Linked DNA regions of Drosophila melanogaster. The protein of the gene in region 1 interacts with the protein of each later gene in a pairwise test. Each region holds a gene or a part of one and is shown on either strand. Other genes may lie near its edges.

Region 1 (6,506 bases):
AACTTGCATGCTCTATCTAAAAGCCACCAAGTAGCTTTAGTTTTGTTACAAATTTCCTGATTGATCAATATAAAATTCATTATAACATTAAATTTTGTAAGATAACGAAAAAATAATTTTTTTTCCATTTCTAAATGTGTTTGAAGAAGAATTTAGACTACCTGCTCATAAACAGCGGATTCTGACTACGAACCCAACTTTTTTCCCTGTGCACGCGATATCCGCTCATTTTTTGGCCGCCGAATCGGTGAGGTAAGCTCCATTAGTGAGTTTTGTTTAATCGCATCAGCCAGCCGAAAATCCAAATCAACGGCAGCTGCAGCAGCGGCAGCATCCTCCGGGCAGGCCGAAATGTATAATCAAGCAGGTACAGACTGTTAATGGATCTAATACCCCATATCCCGTATTCCCGGACTCCGTGCTCCATTGCAACAAAGACCACCCAATGGCACCCCCTTCTAAGCACAGATTTGGTTCGCTCTAATGAGCTCTGCGTGCAGCTTAAGGGCAACTGTAGCACGGCTGCTTCTATTTGCGGCACTTTGGCAATATGTGGCTAAAATTACTTGCAACTGCCGGCGGCAGGGTGCAGATACATCACCACCAGATGCATTTTAATTGGAATACCGAAACAGCGAGTAATAGCGCACATCGAAAAAAAGAAAGAATAGTAGGGCAAACAAAAAGGCGGCGACTGCCCAATTAGAAGCCTATTAGTGGTAACCACCACCCCAACACCACCCTCTTCCAATCGGAACTGCTCCATTGTTGCTGGCAATTTTACCAGGACGAAACAGAGCGCCCAAAGCGAGACAACAAATTATGCCAAATGGCTAATGAATAAATATCCGCAACCAGCACTCTACTCCCGTCCGCCGGATAGTTGGCATCCTTTGAGATGCACTAAAGAAAATGGAAGAGTGCCTGTAAGCCTTAATGATAAAATAAAGAAATCATTTTGGAAAAATATTCGAAATTCATTGAATATATAGTAACTTAAATAACTTGCAGGAATATATAAAACGCGAATTTAACATATAATACAAAATCATTTGTAATATCATTTAAAATTATTGTATTTTTTTGAAAACATTTGTGGTTTAAAACAATACAGTTGCACTCATGTTTCTTGATTGCAAAAAAGAATCTTTCTACAGACATTTCCATATTTGCAGCTTTTTTTTTTAATATACACAGCTCTATGATATAGGTTACAATGAGGTAAACGATATTAAAATTTAATTTTTTCCCCCTTTCTTTATCCTCTAGTTAAAAAACGTATTTATCATTTTTATTTGCCGCCGCGTTGAAGTTGCACTTATGAGAGAGCTCGGCGAAAAGCGCACACACGGGCAAAAAGCGGCAAATGCAGTTTTGTATATCGCTCGGTGCCTGTGTAATTGTATCTGTGTGTACTTTGTGGCATGCCACATAAACTTGATGCTGCTGCTGTGTGATATTTTAGCATTGAGCAGCTCTCAATCCCCCAGCATCGCATCCCGCAACCCCCTTCGCTCTCGGTGATATTTAAATCCTTGTTCCTACGCAGGGATAGCTGTTACGCCGGCAAGGACTCGACTCAGTTGGCTTTTGTATGCGCATTAATGCAACGACTCTCATGTTTATTCACACACAAATTTGCAGCGAATACAACGCACAGAGACTGCGGTGATAGCGGGATGCATTCACAATCCCACACAGAACCCCGGGACTCGGATACACTCGCACTTGGCTGAAGCAATCTGCTGGCAAATGCGCTTTACATTTTGCACACGCTAATACAATTTAATGGTCGCATTAATTTGGCGCATCTGTTGCATTTTAAAACACGCACACACAGCCACATCATGTACGAACACCCACACAGTTACGTGGATAGACTGGCACACAGATGCACAGATACACAGATACACAGATACACAGATGCACAGATACATATACACGTTCAAGGAGCGGCAGGCAACCGCAGGATACTTTGCTCACTTTGTTGTCGGCGGGGGAGGTTAAAGCATTTGCCAACTGCAAATAAAGTTGCGCTCAGCTAAATATTAATTCTAACCAAGTTAGGGGAAACTACTTTAATGGCGGGGGCGTGGCAGCCGCACAACTGCTTAATCCTTAGCTCTGTGTAGTAGTCGGAATGAAGATTGAGATACATGCGCTCGGCACCAGACAAAAAAGACCTGATATATGCCACCAGCAGGCAATAACCGTTTCACGTCTTCTTGTTTTCGCCAATGAACGCTTAAACTATTGGTGCACCGAACAAAAATACTAATAGAAATAGGATCGCAAGTATGTTGATAAAACAAGTTTCAATATTTTAAACACAGATAAAAAACCTCTTAATATTTATAGTTCAACTCAGTTTTTTTGACAAAAACTTATATTAGTATTTGTATTAGAAACTTGATCGATTCAAAACACGTAGGACGACAGCCAACCCTCTTCATTGGAATGTCAGATGCGTGGGAAGTTTGTTATTGCTGCCAATTAGGTTGCCATTCTGTTTGTGCCAATGTTTGCATATTATTTCTGCCCAATTTGCATTGATGCAATATTGTCCATGTCCCGCGCAGCGCTCCCCCCTCCCCCCCCCACACCTCGTTCCACTACATGGCGGCGTCAAATGCAGAAAATGTCAAAATTTAAATATTGAAAGTGACGTTGGCGTACAAAAACCCCTCGTGTTGCGGGCGTTGCACTAAGCGGATAAGCGCTTGTTAAATTTTTAATGCGTTGCATAATTTTTAGTTCGGTGTGGATATTTTGCACACAATATGTACGTACTATATGTTCGTATATTTTAATTCGAGTGGCGGATGCGAAACGCAGCATGAGTGCTGGCTGCATTTGAAATGAGCCGCATGTGGCGATGGCCGATTAAGCCCGGTTTAGAAGCTACACATTCCTCATTTCGCACTCGACAATGATCCATTTATTTGCACTGTCAGCGATGGTGCGGGAGGGGAAAAAAGGTGAATGGAAATTTATATTAATTATAATTTTCACAGCCATGTCTTCCCATCAATTATCAGAGTTTGTCCGACGGCTCAGTTCTCTTTTCAGCTCTTTTCTGCTCTGTGCATTTAAATTTTTCCCCTGCAAAGTCCTTGATAAACATTTTTCAATTAATTTTTATTTGCTGCCGCCGACATTTCTTTGTCCACACACGCGCATATATTTATGTATCTTGCTGCGTGCACATAAGCAACAGCAACAGCAAGTTGACGGCAGCAACATCATCGCCTTTATGTGTTTCACGTATTTCTTTAACGGATTTCCACTTGTCTCACTTTTTGAGAAAAACTTGTCGAGATGGCACTCGCATTGTCAAGCCCACTCACACACAGACATTCGCAGATACGACGAGTCAGACAGAGAGAAAATCTTACACGCTCGGGAATAAAGGAGAACGGGCAGCAACGGTGCGTAAAAATTCGTCCTGGAGCAGGGAAGCACTTCAGATGCGTTAGCCCAAAATGCGGGGTTTGATAAACGCAAAAAATACTCAAAATAAAAGATATAAAACGTTTAAAAATATAAATTCAAATCTTAAAAAAAGATGGCTTACCTGTTCTGAAGACAATGATTTTATTTTAATTTTGAAATCAAATTACCCTTGAGTAAGATATCTCAGAATCATATTTTATCGCATAGAAACAGTATCGTGTCAGCAGAGAACAAAACTAACAAAAAAATGTTTAGCCGTTTCCTAAAACCAAGCCTAGTTTTATGTAGGAGTGTGAGCAATACCGCATCCCTTCGCTACAAGGATCCCATTTATCAGATTTTCCTGGACAAGGTGCGCGAGTATCGGCTGAAGAGTCCCAAGGGAAAGCCCGTAGATCCTGGTCCGGAATTCGAGGCGGAGCTGAAGGAAGTCACTGAGCGCCTGGCTCTGCAATACGGCGGCGGCGAGGGCGTGGATATGCTCGAGTTTCCGAAATTCAAGTTGCCCGATATTGATATTGATCCCATTTCGGTTGATGATCTGTAAGTTACAGTTAAATTGGAAAAAGTTTTTATAAAAATATAAATATTTACTTAGACCAGAGAACCAACCAAAGCCTGAGAAAAAGAATAGAGATAAAGAAGTAAAGGCCAAAGAAAAGGGTGGGGAAAAAGAAGTGAAAGCCAAAGATGGCAAGAAAGCTGACGAACCAAAGGGCAAGGATGAAAAGGACAAGATAAAGTAGATCATCACTAAAAATAATCGTTTTAAATGTTGTTAAAATTTTCGCACAATTCTTAATACTTTAAAAATTATAAAATGTTTATGTTAAAAGAAAATGAATTTAAATGCCTGCAGATTCGAGCTACCCGTTTGTAGCTGTTCCAGGATAGAGCCGAAAAAAGAACGCACCGAAATTTTTATTAAGCACATACATGCATAAGCAGCACTCACACACACCATGCTTTTACCATGTTAAGTAATTCCTTAAACAACACAACAGGTCGCCGCCATTCGCATGGCCTTGTCCCTCCCCTTGGTCCTTCGTCCTTTGGCGCTCCCGCACGCCCCATCCCACCCACTTCCATTTTTTCCGTGTAACTGACGCTGAGTGGCAGACACACAGATACTCACACAAGCAAATTGAATTTAATGCTTTCTGCTGTTGCTCTTGATAAAACGATGGCAAGCGAGAGGAGGCAGCGTGTAAAGGACGAGCGTGGGAGCGAGAAAAACAAATCAAGAGACGTCGCGAAGGAAATACAAGCCAAACGCACAAATAAATACGCACAAGTACATAAATTTAAATTATTTTCGTGGCCTGGCCTCGCTTTCATTTATGCTTTTTTATTTTATTATGCCGCTCCGCTACAGTCGGCCTCAAGGATCCAAAGATCCAAGGATCCGGCATTTGACTACGGTCCAGACGTCCTGGCACACTTTCTGAATGCCATACGAGTGTCTGGCAGTGCGGTTGTATCTATACCCGTTGTATCTGTGTCTATATCTCTGGTACCGTTGCTGTTAATCTGTATCTGTAGCTCTGTGTCCTGTAACTGTGGCAGCGCATCTTCAGCTGTCTCTTAGCGAACTATGCGCCCGCATCGAGCAAACAACTACACCAACACACCGAAGACGTCCTTGGTCCTTGTGTAAGGCATGTTAACTGGGATTTGACAGCTCGTAAATAATATTTCGCTTGTTTGTTGGCTCGGTACAACGAGAGCAACGTCTTGCACAAGGTTGAAACAAAGACAGTGGTCTGAGTTCCCAACTTTATCTTTTTGCCTAAAACAAGGTAATATTCTTGTATTAAACCTGAGGTTTTATACATTTAAATGGCTTCTAAGTAGTTCAATTAAAATAAAATTAAAATATTTAATAATCTCTAATCACAAAGGAGCAGCGTTTAATAATATCATATTTCCAATCTTTGGTAAATCTAAATTATTACAAGAAAAACTGTTTTATTTAATTATATGCATATATTTTTTATCATAACTTTTTTCTTCTCATATCCGCTCATTCCTTGACATTTTCAACCACTGTGACCTATTCGATGGCAGCCATGTGAAAACGAGAAACGCATTTCATTTTTAAGCTGCTCCTTCTTGGCTCTGCTTGTTAAACAGTCTTTTTACATGACATGTGTGGGCGGTGGTTGGTTGGTTGGTTCATCCGGAGAGTCAGATTCTGATTCGAATGAGATGCGGTGGCTGGATGCTGGCTGGTTGCTGGCTGTCCTGGCATGTCCCGATTTTTCGGGACCAGGCCGCCACTCTCATTATGCGCACTCTCCTCGTTGCCGGCTTATTAAATTTTCATAAAGCACAGGCGCTCGTAAAAATTGTGCTCGGCCGCTTTTAAGCGCAAGTGGATTAAGATTAAAGCTTCAAGGAATATGACTTCAAAGGCGGACGAGCCGTAATTAAAGCCATGAAAACTGTCCGCAATTCGATTGCCGAAAACTGAATTAAACTGCGAACTCGACCGCCCAAGAAATAAGAGAAGTTGGGAAGTTAAGGAGAAACCAGGAGAACTGGAAACCACAGAAGGACTTGGGACTTCACCCACCGGATCCGCTCAACTGGAAGAAGATGATGGCGATGACGAGGCGGTGAGAGATATCTAAGGTCGCTTTCCCGCTTTTCTGAACCACACACAGACACATGTCTGTGGCTCAAAAATATATGTGGATATATATATATATATATCTGGCCGCTGGCTGTGAGAAAAGTGAAGCATCTTGTGCAATGTAAACGAAACGTAGCCGATAAAAATAATACGAGAGGCAATTTCGATTTATTGACAGGTGCTCGACTTTATTGAAACGTTTAACTTGAAAACCGATGCGAAAGGAGGCTCGCTCCATACATATAGATTTATGTATGTAGTAAGTGAGCACATGCAAAATTGTGCAAAACGATAAAAATTATGTGAATTTCGTTGTGATTTATCGCTGTGAGCCGGGGCGGCGCTTGGGTTTTATGTGCCCAGATTTATGGCTTCTTCGCCTCGCCCAGGATGTGCATTCGAATTTTGGACAAATTTA
Region 2 (6,141 bases), on another chromosome or scaffold:
CCAATACCAGGACAATTATATTTTATATCTCCAGTTTATTCCAAATATACTATATATTTAAATCCTTGATCAATGCTTTTTAATATACATTAATTTGAGAATAAAATAATTAGCTTGTACACAAATTAAACGATAACAAATAAATAAAAAACATAATAAGTTCACATTTTATAGAATCTTTTATTCTTTTTCTCACAACATAGAATGTTGTTTAATTAATATTTATTACATTATGATTCACATTGGAATCAGCATCTTTTTGGGCCACAGCGAAGCCAATAAGCAGCAAAAAATAACCCGCAAGGAACTTCATGTCTATCAGAAGAGAATAGAAATAAAACACAGACCCGGTTTTTATATAGTTTATAAGCCAAGTGTTGCATAAGCCAAGCGAATCGTTTAATTCTTTTAAACGGTGGCCAATTTTAATATCGTTAAATCATTTTTCTTTCGGTCGTACGAAAATCAAATCTTTTGAATATTACATTTGGTAAAATTGGTTTTGCTACATTTGGTTTTGGTACATTTGGTTTTGGTACATTTGGCATTGGCACCTTTGGTTTCGGTATCAGCGCTTTTTGAAACACTTGCGTTTTTAGCATAAAATATATATATTAAAATTTATATTTAATATAATTAGGCAAAAACATCTGATATACTGTCAGATTGTGACTAGTCGTAAAAGCCATGACCATTAATAAGTTTTGGCCAAACAAAGCTTCGAACAAAAGGTTTATGAAAAAATATATATGGTATATTCTTGTATACTAAAATAGATTTAATATTTCAACTTAAAATAAAATAAATAGGCCATTGCTATTACATGCAAACAATTAAGTAAATGTTTTATTGAATTCTGTGCCTGCAATTATCAAAAGCTCATTTACTTTGCGGCGCTGGGACTATTGATGTGGATCACATTCTTGTTTTCGTTGGTGTTCGGATCCGCAGATTGGGCGAAAGCCACACCGGCAAAGAGCAGAACAAGTGCAGAGGTGATCTTCATGTCGGCCAGTTGGAATTGGAAGTAATGACAAGCTAGGGGAGTGCTCTTCTTATAAGGCCTGGGTTGCGTAAGCGATACTAATCTAAATGCCAGACAATTTGAAATTAATTGCACGATGAAAGAAAAAGAAGTGGAACTAATTCCTTAAACCCGAGACATAATAGACCGATTACAATTTAAATAACACTTGATTCCTTTTGTCAATCTGACAAACATTTATATAATCTGAACTTACCTGGCACGGCGATAGAAATCTTTCTTGATTTCATAAAATTAGTATTAGTCTTTAGCAAGCATTTTTAAAAAGCACGCCAATGAAATTTACTAAGCCGAAAAAAAAAGTTTCTTCTTGAATTCAAATTCATAATCACACCTGTTTCAGAAGGATATGAGAAAGCAGTTGTCTGGTTACTATCTACCACAGTTCTCAATGACTTGTCGTGATAACAATAGTCAGTTAAAATAAAATTATTATTTTCCCAACAATATTGGGAAACGTAAATGAAATTTACTGAACCGAAGATACCTTTTTGTTGTTTGAATTCCAATTCATAATCACACCTGTTTCAGAAGGATCTATGACAGCAGTGGTCTGGTTACTATCTACTCCCATGTCTGGTTGGGGTTTCAAAAGTCAGTCCATGTAGTTTAATATTGTAATACATAGATTAAACACTCTCATAAACATATATTGTGATTAGCGATCCATTTTATTAGAAGAAAATAACCTCTGACTCATAATATTTAACTTTCGGCTGGAGCATCTGCGAGTCCTGCTTCAGGAGCAGCTGGAGCTGCGGCAGGAGCTGCGGCAGGAGGTGCGGCAGGAGCAGCAGCAGCTGCTGCGGCAGGTGCAGCTCCTGGCTTCTTGGCACCGATGACGATGACGTTGTGATTTGTATTCTGGCTCTTTTGGGCGCTAACCAAAGCCAGAACAACCAGCAAAGTGACGAAAAGAGCTAGGAACTTCATATCGGCCAGTTGGAAGTCAATTTAAAAGAAATGAGGAAATGCAAGACCGCTTATATAGGCAAAAAAGATCGCCAAGTGAAACAAATCTTCAAATTCGACACGCTTGACCTTATTATACGTGGTTCATTCGAGGAAAATAATGTAATTATCATTGGCATGTGTTTGATTATGCTGATATATAAAAAAAGGAATTAAGTGGAACCCAAGCATAAGTTACTTAAAATATAGAGCATAAGCTTTCAAAATATCATACAAAATATTTTTTTCTTGCATATTGCTGTTACAATCACAATTTCGTGTGTGAAGTGAAACGAATTTGGCTGTTAGTTAACCGTAAGCTACGACGTTGAAGTGCAGTCTAAAAATCTCATAATGAAAGTGTCACGAACTTTAATCGTTGTAGGTTCTCTGCTCCTGATTCTCAGCATCGTATTAACCTACAAATGGATAGCATACAATCATGCTTACCCGAAAGCACAAACAGAACTAACGAATTCGACGAAGAAAGCAAATCTCATCGATAGCAAGGCTAAGAATAAAAAGCACGTGCAGAATTCCTTAGCCAAAAAGGCAGCCAAGTCGGTGGCCAACCAATCCAAGTTCAAATTGGACAAGGTTTCTAAGAAAATTCCAGTCATACCCCTGCTCGATGTTCTTAAGGCCAAAAAGCAGCCAAGTCGTGGACAAAATATATTCTTCCATGAAACCACGAATTTCAAGCGGATAGAAAAGAGCTCTGTGGTCCAATTGACGGCACGGGAGGCCTGTGCCATTGAATCGGCCGCCCTTCACAATCCAGGCCTCACTGTATTTGTACTTTTTGCCGGCGCCACTCATCGCCCATCAAGTGGAGATCCGCTGATCAGGGCTGTTCACACATGAACACGAATATATTTAAAGACTTACAATTTTGGGCTCCGTTCATATCTTATGTAAATGAATCGAGAGCGATAAATTATATTTAGGATTTTGTTATCTAAGGCGACATGGGTGCATTGCTCAAAAACATGTAATTTAAGTGCACACTACATGAGTCAGTCACTTGAGATCGTTCCCCGCCTCCTAAAATAGTCCCTTAGTGGGAGACCACAGATAAGGTCCTCGCCGCTCAAGATAGGCAGATGTGCCCGAGCGTGGGACCTCGATAAGGCGGGGACTATTTACTTAGGCCTCTGCGTAGGCCATTTACTTTAAGATGCGATTCTCATGTCACCTATTTAAACCGAAGATATTTCCAAATAAAATCAGTTTCTTACAAAAACTCAACGAGTAAAGTCTTCTTATTTGGGATTTTACATTTGGTCAATCGAGCCTTTAATCGACTCTGCAGTTTCCCCCTACCAAAGGTAAGGAACTCAGAGAAAGGCCAGCTCCTTTAAGCATCTTACAGCTAAAGGTAGCAAAAATAAGTGACTCTTGTTTCCCCCTACCAAAGGTAAGGAACAGAGTATAAATATAAAAAGCAAAAGATACAAAAGAATCTTTTATGTTTTAAAACAAGCACCTTATAGTCTATAGCTAAAGGTTGCTTTGTGTACCATTATAAATTGTGGTAAGGCGTGCTTGAGGCCATACATCAGCAATTGTGGAATTAAAAAGTGCATAACAAAAGTGCCTTATAAATGCTCTAATAGCATTAAATCAGCTCATAAATAGAGTGCAGTGTATATGCCATAAGAGCATAAATTAAATAAAAAGTGCCTGAAAACAGTGCCTTATAAATGCTCTAATAGCATTAAATCAGCTCATAAATAGAGTGCAGTGTATATGCCAAAAGAGCATAAATGCCGAAATAAATGGCTAAAAAACAAAAAATCTGACTGGACTACAAAAATAATAAAACGTGCCAAAAAAAAAAAAAAAAAAAAAAAAAAAAAAAAAAAAAATCATCTTTAAACATCGACGGAGCCTTAAAGAAGAGAAGGAAGTCAAATTCAAAGGAGCCTCTACCAGCAGCAGAAGCAGCAACAACAGCAGCAGCAGAAGCAGCAACAGCAGTAGCAACAGCAGCAACAACAGCAGCAACAGCAGCAGCAACAACAACGACATCAGCTAAGTCAAAACAAGAATTTTCTGTTTATCCAAACACACATATATATATAAATACATATAAAATACATATACACGTACTATATATATTAAGAAATTACAAAAAATTTTCAAAATGATGTCAGAAAAGACTATTCAATTCCTTAAGAAGCAGTCCGAAATTATTTTGGAAATTAGAAAGTTGGAAGTAAAACCAACATTAACAGATGTAGAAATTCTAAAATTAAATGAGCTTCAAAAATGTTTCATTGCTAATCATAGCAATTTGTTAAAGATCGGCGTTGTCGATCATGAATATTTTAACGCGAAGCAGTATGATTTAATAATGATGGTGTTAGAAAAAATTAAAAATAAAAATGAAAAAATTAAGGGCGAGTCGGTAGAAAACACTTTCCCTAAATCAAACACTGTCCCTAAATCAAACCCTCCCCCTACATTAAACCTTGAAATGCGTGGTCACCCTGAAAAAGAGGGTATAGCACAAAACAACGCTTTAAAAGTAGAGCAGGCATTTCGTAATAATGTTGGCCAATTTCGAGTATATCTAGAAGATACGTCTAAACTAATAGACAGTAGTCCAGATTTCCTTAAAATAAGGAAAAATAAAATTGAATTTTTATGGCATAAAATAGATAACCTGATTGAACAGGTGAATAGTCATTTTGAGAGTTCGCTATTCGAAGAAGAAATTAGCGAACTTGAATTTGACAAACAAAATATTCTTACAGCCATTAATAGTCGACTCAGTGGCACAATAAATAAAGCTGAAATGTCGACGGTTGTTAAGGCGGAGGAGTTACCAACCCTGCCTAAAATACAGATTCCCACCTTCTTTGGTGATTCCAAAGAATGGGATCTTTTTAATGAACTCTTTACAGAGCTCATACATGTGAGAGAGGATCTCAGTCCTTCTCTCAAATTTAATTATCTAAAGTCAGCATTAAAAGGAGAAGCCAGAAATGTGGTTACTCATTTACTGCTCGGCTCTGGAGAAAATTATGAAGCCACTTGGGAGTTTTTGACCAAGCGATATGAGAATAAAAGAAACATATTCTCAGATCATATGAATAGGCTTATGGATATGCCAAATTTAAATTTAGAATCCAATAAGCAAATAAAGACATTTATTGACACGATTAACGAGTCAATTTATATTATAAAATTAAAGGCACAATTACCAGAAGATGTGGATGCAATTTTCGCTCACATAATTCTTCGGAAATTCAATAAAGAATCACTCAATTTATATGAAAGCCATGTTAAAAAGACAAAAGAAATACAGGCACTTTCTGATGTCATGGACTTTTTAGAGCAAAGGCTCAATTCTATATCATCATTCTCACAGGAAGTAAAACCTGTAAAGAAAATGATTAATAATAACAAGAATAAAAATTATAGTGACAATTGTGCATATTGCAAACTACCAGGGCATTATTTAATTCAATGCCATAAATTTAAAATAATGAATCCAGCAGAACGGTCTGACTGGGTAAGAAAAAATGGGATTTGCCTAAGATGTCTGAGGCATCCGTTTGGTAAAAAATGTATAAGCGAGCAGCTTTGTTCGACTTGTCGTAAACCTCACCACACGTTACTTCACTTTGCAGGTCATAATCCAGAAAAAGTGAATACGTGTAGAACAACAGGTCAAGCCTTGTTGGCCACGGCCTTGATTCAAGTAAAGTCGAGGTATGGAGGCTTTGAACAATTAAGAGCATTGATTGATAGTGGCTCTCAAAGCACAATTATTTCAGAAGAGTCTGCACAGATTCTAAAATTGAAAAAATTTCGGTCTCATACTGAAATAAGTGGAGTATCTTCCACAGGAACGTGCATCTCCAAGCACAAAGCGGTTATTTCGATAAGAAATTCTCCGAAAAATTTAGAAATTGAAGCAATTATTCTCCCAAAACTTATGAAGGCACTTCCAGTCAACACGATTAATGTTGATCAGAAAAAATGGAAGAACTTTAAATTAGCCGACCCCGATTTTAATAAACCGGGTCGCATTGATTTAATCATTGGAGCAGACGTATATACTCACATTCTGCAAAATGGAGTTATAAAAATAGACGGTCTCCTTGGGCAAAAAACTGATTTCGGGTGGATAGTTT

What was found. The genes of interacting proteins can lie anywhere in the genome.
Region 2: the proteins of ATPsynCF6L (region 1) and Mst57Da interact in a two-hybrid assay, tested with the Drosophila melanogaster proteins (one large-scale study listed by BioGRID).

What each region holds. Positions count from the first base shown.
Region 1 is NT_037436.4:5,009,290-5,015,795, reverse strand, and holds ATPsynCF6L (ATP synthase, coupling factor 6-like), read left to right. Parts: upstream 1-3,662; 5' UTR 3,663-3,700; coding exon 3,701-3,996; intron 3,997-4,051; coding exon 4,052-4,199; 3' UTR 4,200-4,352; downstream 4,353-6,506.
Region 2 is NT_033777.3:25,829,899-25,836,039, forward strand, and holds Mst57Da (Male-specific RNA 57Da), read right to left. Parts: upstream 2,002-6,141; 5' UTR 1,979-2,001; coding exon 1,751-1,978; 3' UTR 1,677-1,750; downstream 1-1,676. Other genes in the region: Sfp96F (seminal fluid protein 96F), read right to left, coding at 212-313; Mst57Db (Male-specific RNA 57Db), read right to left, coding at 884-1,006. UniProt on the Drosophila melanogaster protein: Transferred from male to female during mating and may affect egglaying and behavior after mating.